Coturnix japonica: one gene and its partner. The protein of the gene in region 1 purifies or fractionates together with the protein of each later gene. This does not show direct contact. Links are inferred from orthologs where the notes say so. Each region holds a gene or a part of one and is shown in the gene's direction. Other genes may lie near its edges.

Evidence for each region.
Region 2: the proteins of MLF1 (region 1) and DNAJB6 purify together in Homo sapiens (affinity purification with mass spectrometry; 3 studies listed by BioGRID and IntAct, counting the BioPlex papers as one, with this or other methods). This does not show direct contact. The link is inferred for Coturnix japonica from reciprocal best matches to the Homo sapiens genes MLF1 and DNAJB6.

What each region holds. Positions count from the first base shown.
Region 1 is NC_029524.1:19,969,380-19,973,793, reverse strand, and holds the start of MLF1 (myeloid leukemia factor 1), read left to right. Parts: upstream 1-1,527; 5' UTR 1,528-1,611; coding exon 1,612-1,658; intron 1,659-4,414. UniProt on the Homo sapiens protein: Involved in lineage commitment of primary hemopoietic progenitors by restricting erythroid formation and enhancing myeloid formation.
Region 2 is NC_029517.1:7,735,080-7,738,893, forward strand, and holds part of DNAJB6 (dnaJ homolog subfamily B member 6), read left to right. Parts: intron 1-2,732; coding exon 2,733-2,864; intron 2,865-3,445; coding exon 3,446-3,587; intron 3,588-3,814. UniProt on the Homo sapiens protein: Has a stimulatory effect on the ATPase activity of HSP70 in a dose-dependent and time-dependent manner and hence acts as a co-chaperone of HSP70. Plays an indispensable role in the organization of KRT8/KRT18 filaments.

The sequences.
Region 1 (4,414 bases):
ATAGAGAGACAAATATTCCTGTATTTCCCACAAATTGCTCACATAGTTCAGTGCACTTCACATAACTCTGCAGTGCTAAATAAGTTGATCACAATCAGGATCTTCTTTTTGGCCTCACTGTAATTGATCTGTGCTCTGGATGGAAGAGAAAGCAGATGAGCCAAAGTGAAACAGCTGCAGAAAGAACTGCACAGCATGAGCAGGTAACACAAACAGAAGTGTTAGGGGGGATGTTTGGGGCAGGAACCTACACAAATACCCATGGAACCGAGAGGGAATTATAAACACCAACTCAACGTCAATATGGCAAAACGACCTTTTGTTCTAGATGAATACGTTCAACAAAGCTCTGAAGTTTGAATCAGATTTAAATAGTCATATCACCAAAATGAATAAGAATTAAGAAGGTAAATTAATTCCTAAGGGAAATCACTGTAGATCTCATTAGCTCAGGAACAAGATACCTTAAAACTTTTAATTAAAGATAATATTTACCGCAAATGAATAAGAGTTGGCAGGTTTCAGCAGAAACCATAATCTCATTTATGCAAAGTTTTCTCGTATTAAGGCAGACATCATTAATCTCATTGGAGATGCCCTCCAGACTGACAGCGCTGCAGCACTGAGGTGATTTCTTACAGAAGTCTTTTTATCTACACAAAAGAAACGTAACTCGAGCAGACACAAACTGTACGAAGGCCTGAGCAATTAGAGGTATCAGTGTGCGAGCAGAGGACTGGCTGTGTGGTGGTAGTGAGCCCATAATGAGCTCGCCCCTAACAGGGCCCATCTCCCACCAGCAGCAGAGGAATTAGCAATAACTGGGACTCGTTTTGCTTGGTTACCTGCACTGTGATGGGGCTGCTCTGACTTGGGAAGGAGTCTGACCCCATAGGAATCTCAGTGAGAAACTGGGGGTGAAATGTGTGCGCTCAGCAGCTGCTGGAAGGCACCGAGCTGCCTTTGGCATCGCATGGAAGTAATAGGCTTGTTATTGCAAGGCAGAACTCATGCAAAGGCTACACTGTGTAACTGAGCTCAGAGTCTGCTCAGAAATAGCAATGAATAATGACAATATACATGTATTCGGTGAGGTTTGGGTGGCAGACTGCAAACAAGTTCACCATGAAGCCCATGCTGTGTATGGGAGCACAACAGGCCGCCCAGCAGGCAGTGCCGCCCCATCGTGCATTGAAGGCTGTGTGTGCCCCTCCTCAGGGCATGAAGGAGCCGCTCCGCCGGCCCTGTGTGGCGGTGAGGATCGCTTGGCAGGACGCCGGTATCGGCGGGGCTTTGTTTTGCTGCCATCTAGTGGGATAACACTGAATCCATCCCTACGCTCCGACCTGCCCCCCCCGCACCCCGCGCTCTTTATCCCCCCCGTCACATCCCGCCCTGAGGCGCCGCTCCGTGCGCGCTCCCGCCGCCCCCAGCCCCGAACTTTCTGCAGCGGGAGCGCGCGCGGCCATCGGTTACCACGGCAGCGGGTAGCCCCGCCCCTATGCCCCATAGCGACCAATAGCGGCGCTGGGACGCGTCACGTGGGCGAGCGGGCGCCGCCGTGAGGGGCCGTGGGGGCGGTGGGCGCTCAGTGCGCGCGGGGCCGCAGCCATGTTCGGGGCCATGGGCCGGTGGTTCGAGGACGATCCGTTCTTCCGGTGAGAGCGGGGTGTTGGACTCAGGGGGGGCGAGATTCAATTCTACACACGCGGTGGGGGGGTGAGGGTCGCGATGTGGGGGACGGACGGGGCGCACGGAGCGCGGTTGGCGGCGGTGGGGGGTTAAAGGCCGAGCCGGGCCTAATAGTGACCTGCATCCGTGAGGAGCTGCGTGGTAATGACACAGTGACACAGTGACACAGTGACAGCGCTGAGCGAACGGCGGGTCCTGGGCTCTGAATGGGGGGTTATTGTGATCAAAAGTGTTGGTGTTTGAGCCTGGAACCTGAAAATGGGATGGAAATGGGGTGAAAATGGGACGTGAGAACGCAAAGGAGCATAAATTATTATATATATGTATATATAAAGCCATTTTAGTGTAGGATGTTTGCTCTCTATAACTTCATGAAGGGGGGTTGTAGTGAGCTGGGGCTTGGACTTTTCTCTCGTGTATTCAGTGATAGAACTAGAGGGAATGGTTTTAAGCTGCGCCAGGGGAGATTCAGGCTGCACATTAGGAAATATTACTTCTCAGAAAGGGTAGTCAGGCATTGGAATGCACTGCACAGGGAGCTGGTGGAGTCACTGACCATGGGAGTGATCAAGAAATGTTTGGATGTTGTGTTGATGAATATGATTTAGCTGGGAAGTATTGGTGATGGTTGGACTAGATGATCTTCTAGGTCTTTTCCAACCTTGATAATTCTGTGATATTGAGCTTAATCGCTAGCACAGCTCAGGGTGTAGGGCTGGGTGGACGAGGCAGGGTAACACTGGGCCCTGTGGTGTGGGTTTGTTGACTGCATCCCATAGTGACGGGCTGTCCGAGCTCAGGCTGTGCCCCTTAAAGGGAACCTCAGCTGCAGCAGCGCCTTCCTGGCACTGGGAAGGAGGTTGGGACAGTCACAGCAGCTCAGACCTCATGGACAGGATACTAAAGGCCACACAGTGCTCTGATTGAATGGGAATAACGATGGAAATTGTCTCATATGTAGTAATTTGCAACGTGCTTTTGTGATCCTCTGAAACGGCAATTGCCTTCTGGTTTATTCAGTTCAGTTGCTTTGTTGTAGTTTTCAACGTCCTGATGAGGGTTAAAATTGGAGGAAAGTAGCTGGCAGGAGACAGAGGGAGTGTGTGAAAGAGATAAGAGCTTGATAGTGAGATTCATTTCCTTGGCACCATCCACATCGATCTGCTTTACATATAGTTAAGGAAATGAGTTTATTACCTCAGATAAGAAGAGCCTCCAAGGTAGTGCAATAAGAGGCTTCAGCTGCCTCACAAGGAGAGGTTTTGACTGCTGGTCTGGAAATAGTGTCTGAGAGGGAACGTCTCCATCTGTCCTGGAAGTGGCCAGCAGGGCTGTGCCTGATGGCTCAGACAGGTGCAGGAGCTGCAGCCCTCCTGCCAAGTGGGTTTAAGTGTGTTTAACTTAGTGCGCAGCCTTTGTCTTATTGCTCAAGGTCTTCTCTTCAGGCTGCTTCTGCAACTTCATTTATGGTGCTTAACATGTGAAGGGCACAGATTCAATGTGTGAAATCCTTACAAAACGAACTGCTTTTTCCACCATCACTTCTGTAGCAGAACTGTGCAGAAGTTGTGTCAGTCTCATCAGGAGTTTATTGTCTTTCTCCTTGAAGAGTTCAGTTTGAATACCAGGTGGCCAGTAGTAACTAAACGAAGTTACTCTGTACCTGTTGCTGTTGTAGAGCGTGATTGGAACGAAGGACTGAAGGTCTTGTATCCTCTGGTAGAGTTATTTAATCCTTTTAGATGCTTTATCTTGCAGTGATTCCCTGCTGACTTAGCATTGGTTTTGCCCAACTTCTGTACGCTCAGGAGCAGCGCTGCTGCTTTGGAAGCCTGACAACACTCAGCCTCCTTACAGCTGCTTCCACAACATCCCTGGGGAGGTGGGAGCTCAGTTGCTGCACAGTTTGTATCCTCCTTCCTTGCCCATGGCAGTAAGGAGCTGTGCTTCTAAATTGTTTCATAGGATTTGCTTTGAAAGGTCCAAAAAACAAAAGCAAAAATCCCCAAGTTTGGATGCGTTTATGAGCGTAGCAATGCTTGTAGTAGAAGGTGAGTGGCCAAGAGGCCAGAGAATGTGAAGCAGGACAAAATGAATTTCATCAGGCCTGAAGTGTGGCTGTGTTAGGGGTCATATTGTGTGTGTTATGTACACTAAAAGCAACAGAGGTGTGTTTCGTTTTTTAATCTAAACGAAGCCCATGGATCTTGTTTTGCTTGTGTTAGAAGTAATTGTGTGACCTGCTTCTGAACTGGGAGAGGCTGGGGAGAAATCTTACACTTGTTGGAATACAGTTCATCCATCTTTGTCCTGGTAACCACACCAACCTGAACTTTGTGGTGTTGAGATTGTGTGGAAATATGCCCACGTTGTGATAGGGCCTGCGTGCTTCCCTCACCTTGGCCTGCACAGTGACTTGTTTGCATCTGTTCTTCATCCTGTATGTGAGCTGCTTATCGCCTTGGGATTGAAGTTAAAGCTGGCAGTCATGTGAGTGGGGTAGATTAGGGTCTACTTACAGCAGTGGAAAAACTGCTCCTGTGGAGCTGTAACGGTCTGTCTGCACTGCAGTGAACTAAATGCACAGCTTAAAGGGATAGTGTTGCATTAAGAGTCTTGTTTGCAAATGTATTAGCTTTGCATTTCTAATTGAATCTCTTAAAAAGAAAAATTCAATTAGATGCTGCTTTGTACTAAGAGTCTGTAGAGGGCAAAGAGTTGC
Region 2 (3,814 bases), on another chromosome or scaffold:
CTGATACTCACCTGATTAAAGTGAACAATATCCAGTAGTACCTTAAGGTCCAGCATTTTGGCTTTATGATGTTTATCAATTGCACAGTATATTGTATTTTCCATTTTTGGAAGGGCCTTCACTCGTGGTAGCACAAATTACACCAAAATTCTTATTGTAAGAGGAGTCATTCAAACAAAACCCCCCAATATTTTGCTATTAGCTTCATTTGAACCATTTTGGAGAAGCTGTCTATTTGAAAAGGTTCTCATGCATTTGAAAGGTGGTGCTAAATCATAAAAATAGAGCTGCCAGGCTGAGATGTTATTATTGTGCTGAGTGGGACTATTCATCATCCTGATTTACAGCCTAAAATCATAAACAGTGCCTGAGCAGTTGTGGGGTTGCTTTATGCGTGTGGATGTGGTGGTGGATACAACAAATGATGGTGCAGAAGCTTCCTGCTGCCATCACTGCTCAGTGTTTTTTGGCATTTTTTTCTCTGTACTGTACTTGAATGGCTGTCAGCGCAGCCATGAGGAGAGAATATTGCCTTGGAAAAGCTCCCCATGTCCCTGCCTTGTGAGTTTTCTTGCTGAGGATTCAGCAATCAGTTGCAATCAGGTTTCAGCATGTAATTTATTGGAGAGAATTACTGGCAGAACATGGGAGGTTTATTAGCAGAACTGCAATCTGGAATCACCTGAGGCTGGAAGTGGAGTAAAGACTTCAGGTTTTTTTGGTGTGTAGGGTTGCCAAAGGCTGAAATAGAGCACACCCAAGTGTAGGTTAGGCAAGGAGTAGGCAGTGATGCGTTTACAGCTGTGTTGACAGTGGGGATCTCTGGGGGATTCTGGGATCTCCCATAAAACCGTCATTTTTGGCTGCTGCTTTGTGGGAGAGTCCCCTGTAGAACAGGCTGATAGAGTGGGGGGATCGTATACTCAGAGCTTACATGGCAGGTTGTTTTGTTTCTATTCAAACTCCAGGTAACAGGAAAAATTGAGCTATTAATAGAAAGCTTAACAGTGAGAGTAATATAATATAGATCATTTGTACACGTGAGTGAATGACCTTCATAACTAACTTCTGAGTCACCCAAGCAAGAATATATTAGGCTTCAAAACAATTAACTGCATTGGTTTGACTTACCAGCTGATAAACTATCTTGGGGAGAGGGTGTGGGGGGGAAGCAGCTTTAAAAAGAATGGTTACAGTACTTGTTTGGGAAATGCTAACCATAGTTATAGGTTCCCATGTTGCTATGCCCAAGAACTGGTTTGGTTTGTAATGTTTTAAAGATAATAACAGATTATCTTGAGGTAAAAAATAGCGCAGGAGCACAAAAACAAAAAAGCATGGAAACAAGGAAACTTAGTCATTGCTTGGTGGCGTGGGTAAGATAAAAGCTTGGTCCTGCCTTTTCTATTTAATAACTGTGTAAGCTAGGGTTGTTTTTGTTGTTCCTCGCATTTTCTATCTTCCCTAGTGGAAATATGTTTTTGGACCTTAGGAGCTTTATTTGTTCAGCCTTAAATACAATGTGACTCTTCTGTAAATGAATCACGTGTGCTAAGTAGTAATTTTTATTACCAGATTGATTGCTTTAGAGATGTCACCAGTGAGTTTACTTGGTGATGTAGAATGCACCAGCTTGGGCTTTTGTGCTGATACCAGGAGTGGGCTAATCTTTTATCTGTTAATCTGTTAATCATCCTGTTTGATGAGTTGAAGTTCTTGAACTTTGGAGTTTAAAATAAGAAATATATATGTTGAGTATGTGTTACGTGATTGAAATCTAAAGCTCTTTGTTTGAAGAGCGTTAGTAAAAATCTTTTCAGATAGCCACAGTAATGTCTGTATTTTAGGAAAGCTTGATTGCTTCTAAGTAAATAGGGATATTCTTGCACAGGTGTTTATGTACATATATGAAATCATACATAAACAAAAATGTGTTAGGTGGACATTTTTTATATGTATATAATATCTATCTTTAGAAAGAATCTATTGCTCTGCTAATGGGAATGGAATTGATAACTGCTGCTGACGTAACTGTTGTGTGTGAATTTGACATAATTTTTTCCACGACACTCTCTGTTTTTCACCTTTTTCTCCTGCTTGATGGTGTCTGAACGTCTCTTCATAAGTTTGTGCACAGTGTCCTGTAATTTACTACTTAAATCTGCACCAGAATAAATGTTTAAAGTACCTAATGTGGCAAGGGCTAAAATAAACACAGAGTAGTTGAAATTTGAGTTATTGTTCAGTCATTGATTGGGCTTTTTATATTTCTATTATTGACACAAACCGTTTGGAAGTTACTTTTCAGAGACCCCATAGTGGTGGAATGCAATAGATCTGAAACAGCAGTAAGCTGTGGGCAGTATTTATGTCCAATATTGTAAACACTGTTAAGTTCTGAGATCTTAATTTTTCCACAGTGTTACTCCTTACTGCTGTGTAGAGATCGTGATAATGCATCTGATGAGTTCTAAATCTGACAAATACTGAGTGGACACAGTCAAGTTGGTATTTATTTGCAGTTCTTTTATCGTGATACCCAGTCAATTATGCTGTGTGAGCATCTGAAATAAGTAAACTTCTGTTATAACTCTTACTATGCTGAGACATTACAGTAAGTTTACTGTTGTTTTAATACTAAATGGCTAAAATGATAAGGAAATCAATTGCTTAGAATTGTAATTCTATATGTGAGGTGAGATTAACCTCTTTAAATGTCTTTTGTTTTGTAGAAGATCCTTTTGAGGACTTCTTTGGGCGCAGACGGGGTCCAAGGGGAAGCAGAAGCAGAGATGGCGGATCATTTTTCAATGCCTTTGGTGGATTCCCTGCTTTTGGAAGTGCTTTTCCTTCATTTGACACAGGTAAATAGTGTAGCATTTAACAAAGAATACTTTTGTCTCACAAAGGATTTCAGTGTGGTAAGCAGATAAATACTTTTAAAAGTTGCCTTCATTCAGGAAATTGTGAGACTGATATTCTGGGAATTTAGTCTGCTTTCTAAAAAGTCTGAATGTAAATAAAACCTTTGTTATAGTATTTGGTCTACTTGAAAGTTGATAAAAAGTGAACAGACCTCTAAGACTACGTTGCAGTTGTTTATGGCTTGAGAATAGTTTTGGTTCTGTTTGTCCTTGAGCATTGGTGTGACTGTGTTAAGTTTTGGGAAGCACCCTGGGAATATTGTGTTTTGAAACTTGTGGTACTATTTAGAACGAGTTCTGGAATAGTTAATTTGAATGGTGAGGTCTGTGTCTCAGAGCTTTTTGAGAGTTTATGGTAGTTAGTATTGTTTCAAGTGTTAAGACTGAATATTAGTTGGGATGTTTGCAATACAAAACTAAAGCTAGGAGGTGGTCTGATTAGCTGATAAATTTGAAGATCACAGTCATGCAAAATTATGTCTTTAGTCAAATAATTGTCACGTTAACATTTTCCCCGATAGGTTTTACTTCATTTGGCTCGCTGGGACACGGAGGCATTGCTTCGTTCTCCTCTACGTCATTTGGTGGTAGTGGGATGGGAAACTTCAAATCAGTATCAACCTCAACTAAAATAGTTAATGGCAGAAAAATTACTACAAAGAGGTAAGAGAGAGATTTCCATGAAACTATGTAGAAATACATAGTTTTGCATGTGTATAACTATTTACATACACACAGTATATATTTATATTTGTATTGGTTTGTATTACTACTCTTGATGATGTGGTCATCAGAAAATTTGGATTTTTCTGAAAAAAATAAAGGCAAAAAAATGGTGTTGGGTTCTGTGACCATTGCCTTTGCTGAGTTGCTTATAGTTATAGCATGTA